2 linked regions of the Styela clava genome follow. The protein of the gene in region 2 purifies or fractionates together with the protein of the main gene of each other region. This does not show direct contact. Links are inferred from orthologs where the notes say so. Each region holds a gene or a part of one and is shown on either strand. Other genes may lie near its edges. The genes, in order: denticleless protein homolog B-like and COP9 signalosome complex subunit 4-like.

The links.
Region 1: the proteins of COP9 signalosome complex subunit 4-like (region 2) and denticleless protein homolog B-like purify together in Homo sapiens (affinity purification with mass spectrometry; 3 studies listed by BioGRID). This does not show direct contact. The link is inferred for Styela clava from reciprocal best matches to the Homo sapiens genes COPS4 and DTL.

What each region holds. Positions count from the first base shown.
Region 1 is NC_135253.1:12,719,598-12,727,368, reverse strand, and holds the start of denticleless protein homolog B-like, read right to left. Parts: upstream 3,237-7,771; 5' UTR 3,054-3,236; coding exon 2,963-3,053; intron 2,593-2,962; coding exon 2,507-2,592; intron 2,366-2,506; coding exon 2,329-2,365; intron 1,740-2,328; coding exon 1,440-1,739; intron 900-1,439; coding exon 733-899; intron 213-732; coding exon 86-212; intron 1-85. Other genes in the region: aspartoacylase-like, read left to right, coding at 5,989-6,933; poly(A)-specific ribonuclease PARN-like, read left to right, coding at 7,632-7,771. UniProt on the Homo sapiens protein: Substrate-specific adapter of a DCX (DDB1-CUL4-X-box) E3 ubiquitin-protein ligase complex required for cell cycle control, DNA damage response and translesion DNA synthesis.
Region 2 is NC_135260.1:11,660,705-11,667,827, forward strand, and holds the start of COP9 signalosome complex subunit 4-like, read right to left. Parts: upstream 3,294-7,123; 5' UTR 3,075-3,293; coding exon 2,998-3,074; intron 2,284-2,997; coding exon 2,204-2,283; intron 2,094-2,203; coding exon 1,942-2,093; intron 1,463-1,941; coding exon 1,337-1,462; intron 896-1,336; coding exon 764-895; intron 1-763. UniProt on the Homo sapiens protein: Component of the COP9 signalosome complex (CSN), a complex involved in various cellular and developmental processes.

The sequences.
Region 1 (7,771 bases), on a different chromosome or scaffold from region 2:
GAAAAAATATCACTAATTATTCCAAGAACTCATTACTGGTAGTGTAAAAGGGCGCACACTAAGAGGGTAGTAGGATAATAATTACCCGTCGTCTTCTTCTTTGTTTGAATTTTTCTCAAATCCCAAATCTTCAGCATTCCATCCATTGCTCCTGATGTTATCACTGTGTTGCTGTCTTGAAATTTCGCTGACGAAACAGTCTGTCGAGAATCCTAATATTCAAACATAAGATGTCAACTAATAATGATTCAACTTTTAAGTCTTCGTGCAATTGCTGGTCGGGGAGGCCATTCTCTCTATGTAATTTTAAAGGTAGATAATGCTATATTACAACAAAAACAAACATCTTATGTACGGTATCTATGATTGTTTCTGGACAAAATAAACTAGATTTCATGAAAAATACTTGATTTCTATGAATAATTCTTGAAGTTGTGTTGCTTTAGTTTCACTTTGCATAGATTTATCAAAAGTGGTAAATTCAGCATTGTATGTGCTGGGTTTACGTTTGAAAAGAAGACATACTGCAGTAGTACTTATAAAGTTTTATAACTGTCGATAAATTTTCCAGAATAAAATAAAATTTGAATAAACATTTTCCTTTCATTTCGTCAAATTTAATCCAGTATGTAGTGGCCCTCTTTTGGTTTTTAATGTGAAAGTACATATATCATTCGCTCATCAGCAATGAATTTCAAAAAGTATTTTGCGAGTCGCGACAATAAAACTTACTATGGCCAATTGTCCAGTGTCTACCGCTAATGCTCTTCTTCGTTTTCTCATCGGTGTTAAAGAATCATTAATCACATGAGCATCCTGGATTCTAACAACAGGTTGTGATGAAGTTCGACGATCCCATATCAATGCATTCCCATCTCTTGATCCTGTTGCTAGGAGATCTGTTGAACAATACCATAAATAGAGTAAAGCAGAACTGTGGAGTCTGGAGTCGTAGTTTCAAACTTGAATGTCAAAATTCTGCATTTTATGATGTCAGAATTGCATATTTCCAAGGTGATAAAATAACAAATTCTACAGAACGCCAAAGTTTTCATTATCAAAATTGCACTTTCTCGGAGTTCAATGCTGGAGCCAAATCTTTCAAAACTATGAATCAGGAGTCTGAGCCAAAATTTTGTTCATCTGAAAGTTGATTGTAAATGTTCTCAGAATCCACAGCTTGTTTTCAAGATACAGAAATGCATAAATTGTAATCGGGATAAATAGGCTAAATTGCCATCAGGAAAGGCACAAATTGAACCTTGCATATATGTAAAATTTTCTCACATCGAAAAAAACATAGATGAAAAATACTTCTTTCAAAATGATCACATGATTGACATGAATAAATAGATAAAAGAAAAAAATGTGTTGGGGGGAACATTGTGCTTGAACAGGAATAGATTCAATGAGGATGTTTGATTGGATAACATACTTACTCAAATTGTGCTTAGACACATTCACAGATTTCAAACTACAACTGTGTCCCTTGAAAACAGTTATGACTTCTCCTTTTAGTGTGTCCCATAATGCAGCTGTTTGATCACCAGATGCAGTTGCTAGAGAATGTTCGTGAGGAATCCATGCAATATCAAATATAGCATTGTTGTGTGCCTCAAGTTTATGCAGTGGCCTCAATACTTTATCAGCATCATTTCCCAGTACTGGTTCATTAGCAATGAAAAGAGATACGATTCCATTTTCATCTGCCACTGCAAATGTATGCTCACTGCCGGAAGCTTAAAAATAATACTTATTGAAGTTAAGAAATCCATGCCATGTATTTGTTTTGGTAAATGAGTACAATCTTGATAATACCCCACCACTGATTTGAATGTTGATTCTGATTATTTCAAGCAAGCTTAGGATAATTTAAAGGCAAGGCAATAATCTAACCCAAGATTTAGCCTACATATTCATCCTGGGAAGGGTAAGCCGATAAGACGGCTTCATCATATGGAAAACCACGGGCTCTCGTCCAGATACCAGTCCACGTCGAGTATGGGATTAGCCAGTTATTTATTTTCCGAAGCATGGACTTGATGGTGAAGGAAGCTGTAACCGACCAGCGGTTACGTTGACCACCCTACAGCGGCGAGGAGTCCAGCAATCCACTCGCACATAACTATTTCTGCACGGGATTCGAACATGCGAACCCTCGCAAGGTAATCAGAGATGTGGTAGCAAGCGTATTGCTAACGCTTGGCACGATGCGCCACACCGCCAAGCCGAAATCAAATTAGAAAGGGAAAATACCAGAATAAAGACCTAAAATGTAATCAAATAAAATCAAAAACGAATCACTTAAAGAAAAGTTGTGGAACATACCTGTACAAAATTCAACTGTGTATGGGGGTACTTCCGGCTGAAACAAATAAAAATAATCTATTCTAAAACATGTAATATTTTTTGATATTGAAAAATTGTGTTTTGCATAAAAATCGCTGAAAGCGATGTTTGTTTTTTCCAAATACCAGATTAAACTAATTGTAATTAAATTCGTTACCTCAAGTTCCCCAGGAACGACATATTTCTGATTATTGGCACAAAATATGTCTTGCATGTGATGTTGATTGAAACTATTGACAAAATCTAAACAAGAATCGTAGAAATATATTAAAGCAGATGAAAAATTACAATAAGATGATATCTGCAATCTATATTATATTATAATGTAATTTTCAGATTTTGTAAAATAACGTAGTACAGCAGTACGGTATCAGGCGATATTCTGATATTTCATATCAGTATTACGTTCAAACAATTGGAAAAATCAATATCTTCTACCTTATCTTCGTCTCATGATACTGTCAGACTGTGACATACAGTCAGACAGTGTACTTGATATATTTAAATCCGAGCTGCAATGAGACCAAGAATATTTGCAGATTTATTAACATTGTGTCATCACATCACGGAAAGTTAAAAAAGGGATGGCATATGATATGAAGAAATACCTGACCTTTTTCGTTATAGTTGACGCATTTTCGATATCTCGTATTTGACATTCCAATCTGACGAATAAATGTTAATTTTCCCACGTTAAACGCCATGACAGCATAACATGCAAATTCCACTTAATACAGAAGATGAAATATAAGATAGAGCTACAGATGCGGTACCGGTAGCGTGGTTTAAACGCGATGCTGTGACAGCAAAATGCAAACAACTGAACACAGAAGTAACCGGTAGTAAAAAGTAACAGAAGTACCGTGATGGTGGCAATTATGTAGGCTACTACACAGAAGTAACCGACGGTAAATCACCAAGAGAAAAAAAATCGGCGTCGGCGCCTTCCGTCTTTGCAGCGTTTGGATTTCCCGCTGTTCACGCGAATTGTCGGGTCATGGGTCATACTAATTACTGAGAAGGACAGTATGGAAACAACAGAACCAACTTGAGAGAGTGCGCGATATATTGTTTCGTCAACTAGAAAACAAGCATTGTAACAACAACAATAAAAATATACAACATACACAAAGTTATTCGGTACAAACTATATATATGTATATGTTGCGTATTATAAATTTACGGTTCATGAAACATGTCGCACAACTGTGTCTTACACCAGTAAGGTCTTGAACACGTATCACGGTATAACAGCAGTTTAGGATTTCTGCGTAATAGTTGGGCAACAGACATGAAATTGATGAAACATACAAATGAATCTTTAGTACAATACACAAAACAGAGAGGTGCAGATGTACCAGTATCCGTTTGTGTTGAATTCGTAGTCATTTTCCGGGTTGTTTAGGTTTGGCATAACTATATACACACACCAATTGTGTCAAATTTAAATGCGGTTTTTACGATAATGTAAGATATAGAGTGTCCCGATTGAAATATGTCCGTGATTTCCATTTTATTTTTTCATACGACGCTTACTCGCATGCTTTGCTCCGAACAAGGCCCTGTGGAAGCAGTTACATATATCGATATGTAAGGAGCTACTGCTATTTGTAAGAGCTAGAATCGTCCCGGTTCGAAAATGCTTATCTAATTTATTGCACTCCATGCAATGCGATACCAACATCAATAAAATTAGAGCCTACTTCACCTATGCAATAATATATATGCTTAATTTGCATATGTTTTTGCGAAAACTATAATGATGTCAGTTCTCATAAATTTTAATATGTTAGATATACGCTGACGTTTCATATTTTACTGACATTAGAGGCATAGTGGTATTTTCACATTCCGTAAACTGAGACGAAAAAGGCTAAATTGTAATAGTCCCAACTAATTCAAACTTTATCCCGATATCAAGTCTTGTTCTTTTCTACCTAGATCCAGTAATCGGATGAAACGTCACACTCCTGGCATAAACGTAGACATTTTATTTTCACCTATCTTTACTTTTTCTTCAGTGTTATTTTATGACAATTAAAAAATGCTGCAAACAATCTGATAAAAAACAGTATCAGATAAAAAAAAAATGGACATGCTTTTGAAAAAGAATTAGTGCATTGAGCAATTTCAACGAATATTGATATTTCCTCTTGTTTTTTATCCTGCGAACATTATGCCCACCACTGAGCCTTCCTATCGCCTCGTATGGGTAGGCCTATATTGCGCCCGCAACTAAGCGTTGGTGATGAATCGTCTGTCGATCTTTTAGGAAAAACGATACCCGAAAAAATCTCCTTTCGCGCATTTATCGGATTAATCGAATTTAATTTTTCAGTACTTAAAATGGAGAAGTCGCCAATAGCCTATTACTATTAAATACAGTTTCAAATTTTATCTTACTGTGTTTCTCTGAAATATTTCTTTCGAAAAATAACACTAGGGCTTTATTTGAGGGGATGCTTTTTATTTTAATTTATTAAAAACAAAATTACGAAGTAGAAAATTACGAGGTTTTCTAATATACAAAATTTGAAAATTGATTGCCATTTACCTACAAATAACACGTTTTAATTCAGAATAAATGCTGAACATAGATTATTAATCATTCAAAACGTGTATGATAGATTTCTTGCTATGGACTAGGACTCAGCGTTTCTCCAAACTGTGTTACGCAGCGTCTTCCGAGTGTTCCGTGGAAAATGAATCAAAAATACATCTGAAGTGGTCGACATGACGATCTCGGGATCGCGTGAAGTTGTCGCCATACTGACGACCGTTTAATATCGAGTCACCGTCGGACTAACTTCTTGAGGGTAGTGGTATTTTCGTTAACCGTCGGCCTAGCTTTTTGACAAGTTCATTATTGAGTTTACAGCAATCTTTTTGGTTTTGCAATAGGCAAACATCGCTAAACTCGATCCAGCAGATAAATAAACTGCATCTTGCTAAATTGCAGCAAATATCTCTATCTCCATTGTTACGTAACATTAGAGGCAAACATTACGTAATGGAAAGGTAAAATGAATTCATTGATTCATATACACAGCATTTAAATAAGAAACAATAAAACATTTATAATAAATGCAATATGTAAAAATTCAATCATATATAGTAGGTATGTTAATTAAGTTTTCGGCATTCTATTGGTAAGTGATTGAATATTTTAAATCAAATAGTTGCTTTCAGCTTGTAATCAACTTTTAATTATTGCAACTAAACTGAATGTCTTCGGAAGGCATGATTCCAAATAAGACATTTGATTTACAACTATTTTTCGGAAACACAACTGAAAACTGAGAAATACCAACACGCAAAACACAAAACGAGGCAATGTTTACAACCATTCTTTAATATCTGTTTGAGCCAAAGAAGTGTCTGAGTGGCCGCATAAATTCCAATTGTTACTTCAATGTTGCCGTATTGCTGATTGGTCATTGTTACGGCAATAAACAAGGAATTCGATGTTCAGGGAAACATCCATTCATTTACGGGCAAGATTAAGAAATAAATCTATGGGGTCAAAGTTCGGGGGAACAGTGACCAAATGAGAATTTGCTTTTTATCGGCGTTGCAAATACGCAAGGTAATCACAAAAAGTTTCTCAATTATCTTGGCAAACTTTTAAATTCAAAGATTATGGCTTCCATGAAACAAATTTGCATATTTGGAGGAATGCATGGCAATGAGATGTCCGGTGTTCATTTGGTGAGAAAATGGGAGAAAAATCCAGAATCAGTTACCAGATCAACCTTCCAAACAAAAATGTTAATTGCTAATCCAATTGCTGTGAAATTGGTTAGACGGTATAAGGATGTGGATTTAAACAGGCAAATGTCTCCTGAAAATTTTAAAGTTGAAATAAATGAAAACACACCCTATGAAGTTAGAAGAGCAAAAGAACTGAAAGGAATGTTGAGTGAAGGTGGAGAAATTGGCGAATGTGAATTTATACTTGATTTACACAATACAACAGCAAATAATAAAGTTAGTCTCCTTCACATGGAATCGAATGACTTTAATATGCATTTAATGCATTATGTATCAACACATTTACCAGAGGGAATGTGTTATATTATGTCCCTTGCTGGCAATGTGAGTTATGATTCTGGTAGAGGATTAGGAAAATATGGGGGAGTTGGTATAGAAGTTGGTCCCCAGCCACAAGGTGTGTTGCGAGCTGACATAATGTCTTTGCAAGAGTCATCAGTTCACTTTGCTCTTGACTTCATTGAAAACTATAACAATGGTGAGGAATTTCCAGAAGTCAATTTTTCAGCATACGAAGCTGTTACAAAAATACCGTACCCACAAGATGTGGAAGGTCATCTTACTGCAATGATTCATCCAAGTCTTCAAGATCAAGATTGGAAATTGTTGACGTTGAACGATCCTGTATTTTTGTCTTTTGATGGCAATGTTCTTTATCTCAAAGACGTAATAGAGGATTCGAGTAGCGGTCCATTTTACCCAGCGTTTATTAATGAGGCAGCATATTATGAAAAAGGCATTGCATTTTATTTGACCACTCAGTATAATGTATGTGCTAAAAAGCTATCGAAAAAATCATTTGAATTTCAGTGAATATTTTTTGATTGCCAGTTATCTATTCAAGATTAATATGTATGTATTCAAGAGCAGGGAATTATTTTTTTATTATAAAATTGCAGTTTCTATGAATTAAAATGCATTATGCTATCTGTTTGTCTGAATATGTTAATATCTGTTTCGTTTTTGTCCAGTTATTTTGCATAAAATATTGCCAAAACCATTGCATCTTTAGCATGGTGTGTTTAATTACCTATTAACAATTGAGTATATTTGAGTAAGTTAGGAAAATTGGAACAATTCTTTCTGCACATTAATATTGAATTCCTATCTTTCCTTATTAACGAAATGGTACAATAAACCAAAGTATTTGCTATTTAAGTATGACCTTACAAATATTACATTTTAGCAATCATCGATCATATGTGCCAAAGTGTTTTAATTTACTTTTAATCAATATTTTTCTCCCTAATAACCCTTCATAAAATAAACTGACAATTTAAAATTATGTCCTACCTTTTTATTAACTAGTTCAAATTTTGCAATAATTCGGTACTTCAATTGTGCAATATGATTCGAATTATATATTATTATCAGCATGTATCATCAATCATATATATTCATATGATTATCATATAAACATATATGATTCAAATTATTGATAATAAAACGAGGTGTTCATTGTTACAATCTCAATGTTTTCCAGTATTTAGAAATTAATTCGATCAATAAAAATGGATATTACCAGGCATAATTTCAAGGAAACGTATGAAATTGTTGAAAAAGCAGTTTCAGAAGCAAATTTTGTTGCCGTGGATGGTGAATTTTCTGGAGTTACTAATTCAACGTTCAATTTGACTAATTATGATTCACC
Region 2 (7,123 bases):
GTAGGATATGGGGCCTTATTTTCAAACCTACTCGAGTCTGAAGTCGATATTTTGAATTGTACAGAGTTGGGAGTTGGAACTACGGATTTTTATAGGATGGTATCGGAATTTAAAATTCGAAAACAATTGAAACTCATGAACCATCAGGTTAAATAAACATTCTCAACAAAGTCAGCGGTTCCCAAAGGGTGCGCCGTGGCGATTTCTAAGTGCGCCCCGAAAATTAACATAAATATGTTAAATATAACTAATATATGATTGAATACTCCACTTCTGTTGTTGTATTTATTAAAAATGTTTTGTTTCTTTTTTTAAATGCTGTTTATATGAATAAACAAATAATACATTTCACATTTCTATGCTGTTTACTTTCTGTTTCATAGTGTCTGCCTTTATTGTCACGCAACAATAGAGGTAGACACACAATGCAATGTCATGAATTATCTGCTGTACAGAGTTAACGAGCATGGGTGATTTTTTTAGTATTGACTTTTTGTCTTTATTCTTCAAGCCTACACATGTTTACAATCTTCAAAAGACATAAAGTACACATATGAAAGCAGCAATTCTTTTTCGATGGCGCCGCACAAACAAAAGGTTTGGAAACCGCTGAGGTAATGAATTGAAAAGTTTTCATTATGAAAACTTGGGTTTCTTGCAATTCAAGGCTAGAGTAGGAAGTCAAGATTTCGTTCAACCAGTCCGAGGTATGAATCCGCTGTAAATTTATCTTTTTTCTTTATCTATATAGTAAGAACCTCACCTTATAATGGATTTGTAATTGCTCATTTTTGGTTTCATTTTGTAGCATAGATGCTCTATTGATATAGGTTTCTGCCTGTACTGGATCATCATCTTCCAAAAATAATCTCGCAATTTTCAAGTATGTTTCTAACTGAAATAAGAAAGTACAGGTATTATACTTAGAAAAAAGGCTAAATGGGGGTCGCAGTAAAATCTTTTCTGCACTAACTTATGTTGAAATAAAATATCAGTCACATTTGGAAACAAATGGAGGCAAGATTTGATCTTTGGTGCGAGAATTTTATTATTTTTTTCAATATTTTCTGTATTATTAAATTTTACTCATTTCAGTTCCTGGGGGTTGCAAAAAAATTAGCTGTGCCAAGTGGATTGTGATGAAGAAAGTTTTAAGAACACTGGGTATCGTATCTCACTGATAACAAACTAACCCAAGGCGAATAATAATTGAGGGAAATTTCAATGATGAAAAAAGAAAAGTCATGTTCAGACCCATAATCACAGCCATATAGTTCATTATCAACTTTTTCAAGTTACACAGCTGAAACTGGGTATTTCATATTTTGAAAGTTACCTTATAATCATGATCATATTGTTTCTGTCCTGATTCAATGTTAATTCCAACAAGAATTGTAGCTGCGTCTTTCCATGATTCTTCATCTTCATAAACTTTTGCTAAATGTTGTCTGATTTGAGCAACCTGAATAGTATTTTAAAGATGTTTTTATGAGACGTGTACCTTTATATAAAAACAAATATATGAAACCTTGATAGGTTCATGAACTTGAGTTCTTATTACATTATTTGAATTTGAAATTTAAAACATGTAGCCTACTACTACGTAGATACATTTTGCCTGCACGCTAAAACTACCCTGATGCCAGGGAAGGACACAGTTTTAAACTTCATGATAGATAACCATATAGCCAACTAAACAGAATAGGATATATATCAGTTGGTTTAAATACCATTAAAAAAAAAATTGATGTTATATTTCAAGGAGTTACTCCAGGTGTAATAAGGGTGAAAGAAAAAAATAAAAGGGGGTTCAAACACAGACTTAATTTAGAAAGGCATAGGAATGATAACAAATATTCATGCTAAACGACTGAAAATAGATTACATCCCAGTTTATATCTAACCTTTGTCAATCATTTTTCATGAACTTGATAAAAATACCTGTTCTTCGAATGAAATTACTCTTGGTTGAATTCGATCCAGTGCAAAATGACAAACTTCTTTACACATAGCATTATTAAGCTGAGATAGATGTTGGCAAAATTCTGTCATCAATTGACGAGATACTATTTGACTCACATTTTCATTCACCACTAAAAATCAATAAGAACTAAAATAAGGTAAACGGATAATTACATATAAAGGGCCTAACATGCATATATTCGCAGTACTCAAGTTGAAATTTATATTCAGCAATACTAACTTGCATCTATAAACATCTTCAATGCGGAAACTTTTTCATTATCAACCAACTTGAAGCATGCTTCTAATATGTGTTGATATCTGAAATGTATAAAAATATAGACATGTCCTGAAATATGTTTATTTATGATTGATGACTAATACACAGGCAGACAGGTGAAGGGATTGCAATAATATTTTCAAGACTCCAATGCATTTACTGTGAGCTAGCACAGTTCTTTGTCTCTGTTACTATCAGATTACCACACTTTTTCTATGGACTGAGGAAAATATGCCGTTTGATAAGCTTGAAAATTTGAGGAAAGGAAGAATTTATTTTCACAAAAAAACTTGAAAAAACAATAATGGAAGTACACATTGCAGCATTGAGAAATACACATTGTCTGTGGAGACAAAACATAACCAGAAGCAATTTATGAATAGAAAACCTATGTCATTTTATAATAATGACAGAATAGTAGAGATTGAGAAAGTTTGAGGGCATAAAAATGTAAAGAAAGTAAATCTTATCCCAACTAGCCCAAAGATAACGGTAAATATATTAATTCTATACCACCAACAGCAAAACGCAAGAAAAACATGGATTCCTTACTAGCTTAACTAGGTAATTGTATATCAGTATATTCAGATAAATATTGAACAACTTCAAATGAACAATATGCCAAGGCAGAGTAAGACAAAATTGATAGATATCATTTGAATCATGTTAATTGTGTGATTCAATAAAATACATTGCTTAGTCCAGTAGTCAGAAGATGATCACTAGTTACATTTGCAAGCATAAATTTATCTCACCTTTCAGATAAATCTCTATGTGAACTGCTGGCAGCATTATTGAGAACAGCTAAATCAGCGCGAATGTTGGCTGCCATATATCTTTTTATTCGGATAGACTTTTTCTCTTTAACAGAACTGATAATATCGGAATCAAGAACTAAATTTTTCTACATACTCAATAAATGCTCAAATCCGTTGAAACTCTCAGGACTGAAAATTTATATTTAGCAATAGAGTAGAGGGGGTGTTTTTTCTATGAAGCACTAGCAGTGACTACTGAACTGAGAAAGAGGAACGGAGGTTAATTTCCACAAACTATGCGATTGTGAACACTGGAATATAATACCGAAAAATATTGAAGAAAATTTCTGGTGTCAAAGGTCGGGGAAAATACATTTGTACAACACAGCGTGGTTGCAGTTAATGGTTGTAACTGGTTTTCAAATAATAAAATAGAACAATTTAAACAAAACTTTTAACTTTAAGTCAATAACTAATATTCCCAACACACTTTTCGAACTGAAGAACCGAAGCAATAATCGCAAAATCGATCAAACTGTTTTTGTTTGTTTTATGGGGATATTTTGTTACGTATATTTTCTATCAATGTATATGATGTCTATCATTGCTACACTAAGAATATTATGTTAATTAATGGACTTGAACCTGCCACCCTGTTGTAATTTTCAAACATTTATTGGTGCTTATTCCTGTCGAACACGAGACCAATCGCTCATTCTCTGCTGCTGGCGTATGACTTCGTCTACACGTCTTTGGTTTTTACGCGTGTCGTAATGTCGTTGACTTGGTGTAGTTCTGCTGCAGTTGGAGAAACAGGGTGTTTTGGGGGATACGATACGATAAGTTATTATATGTTTCGTTACTGTAGAAATTTTTGAATCTATCGTTATCTGTCATATATTTAAAAAAATTCGATTTATGTTAGTATAGTTAACGTTAGCCACACGACGGTGAGGTCAGGATAGGTTACGTTTATCAAATTATTACTGTAGCCTATTATTGTTTGTTCATCCTGTCTCCGGATTTCATAATCAGTTCTTATTTATTTACCAATCATTTTACTGTTATGCTGATTATGGAGTCGAAATAAACTTATACTTACAGTCTCGATTAAACCTGTAAACGTTTGCGAATTTTCGGTTGGGTTTGCTTTTTTGTACCAAGACCCCAGACTGGATTCCATGGCAGGTGCACGCCCGAGGGCGCTAGCGCTCCGCAAAAATGCACGCGAGCGAAATCAATTTTGCACGCCGAAAATTTGCAATTGCTCACCAATGTAAATCGGTTTAAATGGTTTTAAAATCAATAATCCAGTAATATAAAGATGCCAAAATATTATAACTCCACAATTGTCGACAAATACCAGCTTGCAAGATTTGGTCTGATCGAAATATTGCGAAGCAAAAAGACAATGGACCTTTCCCCAACCTTTGACCCGCGAAAAATTCCTCTCATTGTTACGTCCTTTTTTGCATCTTGCTGATTGGCCAAAGCCACGAAGTAAACAAGGAAGTCGATGCTCGGGGAAAGGTCCATATCGTGTTGAATGATAGGAAATAGGAATCCCGTGAGAATAGTTATGGACGAAAAGATCGCCTCCGCACCAATGGCCAAGTACGGCTCTGATTCAGCGTATTTTTTATACAATAATTTTACACGAATGTACTGAACAGTACCGGTATCTAAAGTTGCTCAAACACTCCCAAAATTAGTGACAAAGTATGAAAATAATGTTTGGGGTCAAAGGTCAAACGTCCATTTTGCTCTAATTTGACGTATTTTTTATCCATTAATTCTACGTAAAAACACTACCAAAATTAATGACTAAGTATGTCCATTTTGCTCTGGTTCAACGTATTTTTTATCCAATAATTTTACGCGGATGTACTAAACAGTACCGGTATCCAAAGTCGCACAAACACTCTCAAAATTGGCGACAAACTGTAGAAATAATGTTTGGGGTCAAAGGTCAAACGTCCATTTTTTCTCTGATTCAACGTATTTTTTATCCGATACCGGTAATTTTACGCGGATGTATTGAGAGGTATCTGATGTCGAAGTCAGTTGCACGCGAGTGCAGTTGTTTTGCACGTCGTGAGCTATAATTGCACGCCAGGAATTCTTATTTGCACGCGGGAATTTCTGATTGCACGCCCGATTTCTCGTTCAAAAAGGCCATGAAATCCAGACTGGCCAAGACCTGATAACTGGATAACAGAGTTCAAAATACCATATCCTATTTCAGTATTTCATCATACTAAATTTGAAACAAAAATATTATTAGCTGAGCATGAAGATTGTTATTTTCCCAAAACCTGTAAGTTAAATCAGCCTTTCAGAGTTAGTTCCAATTCTGCAATAAGATCAGCATATCATTTTCTATTCAGGCCCTTGAGTATGTGAGAATGAGAACTTAATTTAACTTTTATTGTATTATCAGGGATCAAACATGGGCATTTTCTCTACTGATTTTTATCTGTATTTATATATTTTTCTTTTTTTTATTTCCTAATTTTATTTCTCGTTTTAGATTGAATCATGATAATTCTCCAGTAATTTATGTAAGCTGTTTTCAGATTCAAATTTACTTCAGTAGGCTACTTTTTACAGTACCTGGGGGGAGGGGGAAATTGATATTTTTAACATTGTAAGCCCAATAACCAATTTGACATAATGATCTTTTTTTCCTTGTATATCTGTAACATATCTCAGTATCTTGTTTATATTTTTTTCCTAGTGATCTTGCCATCACCATTTTATTTATGTTTTTTTCCTTTGAAATTGAAATTTTTATAGATTTATATTTGAATTCAGGTATTCTCAATCATATATCTGTATATGGGCCATTCCAAGCAAATGTTAAATTTCATCAATTTATAAAAAAAAGTAATTGTGAAAAAAGTGAAAGTAATTGTTTTGTATATTTTATATCAAAAGACAATTGAAGGTTATTGGACTGCATTCATTTCATGGATAAATTTAAAATTACACCCAGGTTTTTGATAATTTACACAAAGTGGCCTGAAATAAAGAAATTTTGGACCTCCTGAAGGAGGCGCAGTTCTTACCACTTCATGGCAGCTCCTGCCACGAACGTACCACGCCGTCTCCTGCCATGGTTTTATGGCGCTATTACCGGTATATTTACAAATTCATGTACCATATTTTAGTTTATCATGCGAAATTATATCTACTTAAACCCTAACCCCAAATCCATCCAAACTGTATCCATAAGAAAAACATTCCAACTCACCAAGTATTTATCACCATCAGCAAATTAGGGGCAGCCCTGCTATTACAGCCGACCTGCCGTGGTTACGGCAGTAAAATTGGTGGTATTCGATTTGCTGCCGCAACCACGGCAGCTCGCTATTGGTTTGTGGCAGCTAAAAAGTCAGTCGCCGTGGGTTTGGTCTTAGTGGCCATGGTTTGGAAATCCCGCCATGGTTTTGCGGCAGCTGTAGACGCCACAAAATACTTGAAACTGCACTTGTCCTGAAGTGTGCGCACCAAGATGGCGCACAACCTGAATTCAGATTGTGTACCAGGTTAGGGTTCAGGTTATGCGACATCTTGGTGCGCATACTTCAGGAGCACCGAAATTTTGATATAATAGGCACGTTTTGTGATGAATCGTAACATGAAATGTTTGATTATGTGGTACAGTTATTTAATTTCAAATACAGAAATAGATGCACTGAATGCGCTGCTCCTAATGCGCTGCGTGCAATGAGACTTTTAGGGTACCACCACTAATGGAACTTAAGTCAATAAAGCCTAGGTGTTTGCAGTGCTGTAGGACATGTCTTCATCTATCTAACAATTTATTACCAGAATTTTAAGAGATGATAGAGGGTGCTGTTCCAAAATGGGGCAAATGTTCTGTAGAGTCATGCCGGTAGAGTAACATACATTGTGCCCATTATTGGCATGGATCTACAGTTTTACATTACGGTAAGTTACTTATTAAGCAACTCATAGAGGGGTTCTTCAGCTACTGCACCATCAACACAGTAAAACGGTAATGCATGGTGGATTTGCTGTCCTGTGGAGTCTCGCTATATTTTAATATATATTTTATATCCACTAAGTAAGTCTTGTATGTAAGTTTTGTGCAATTTTG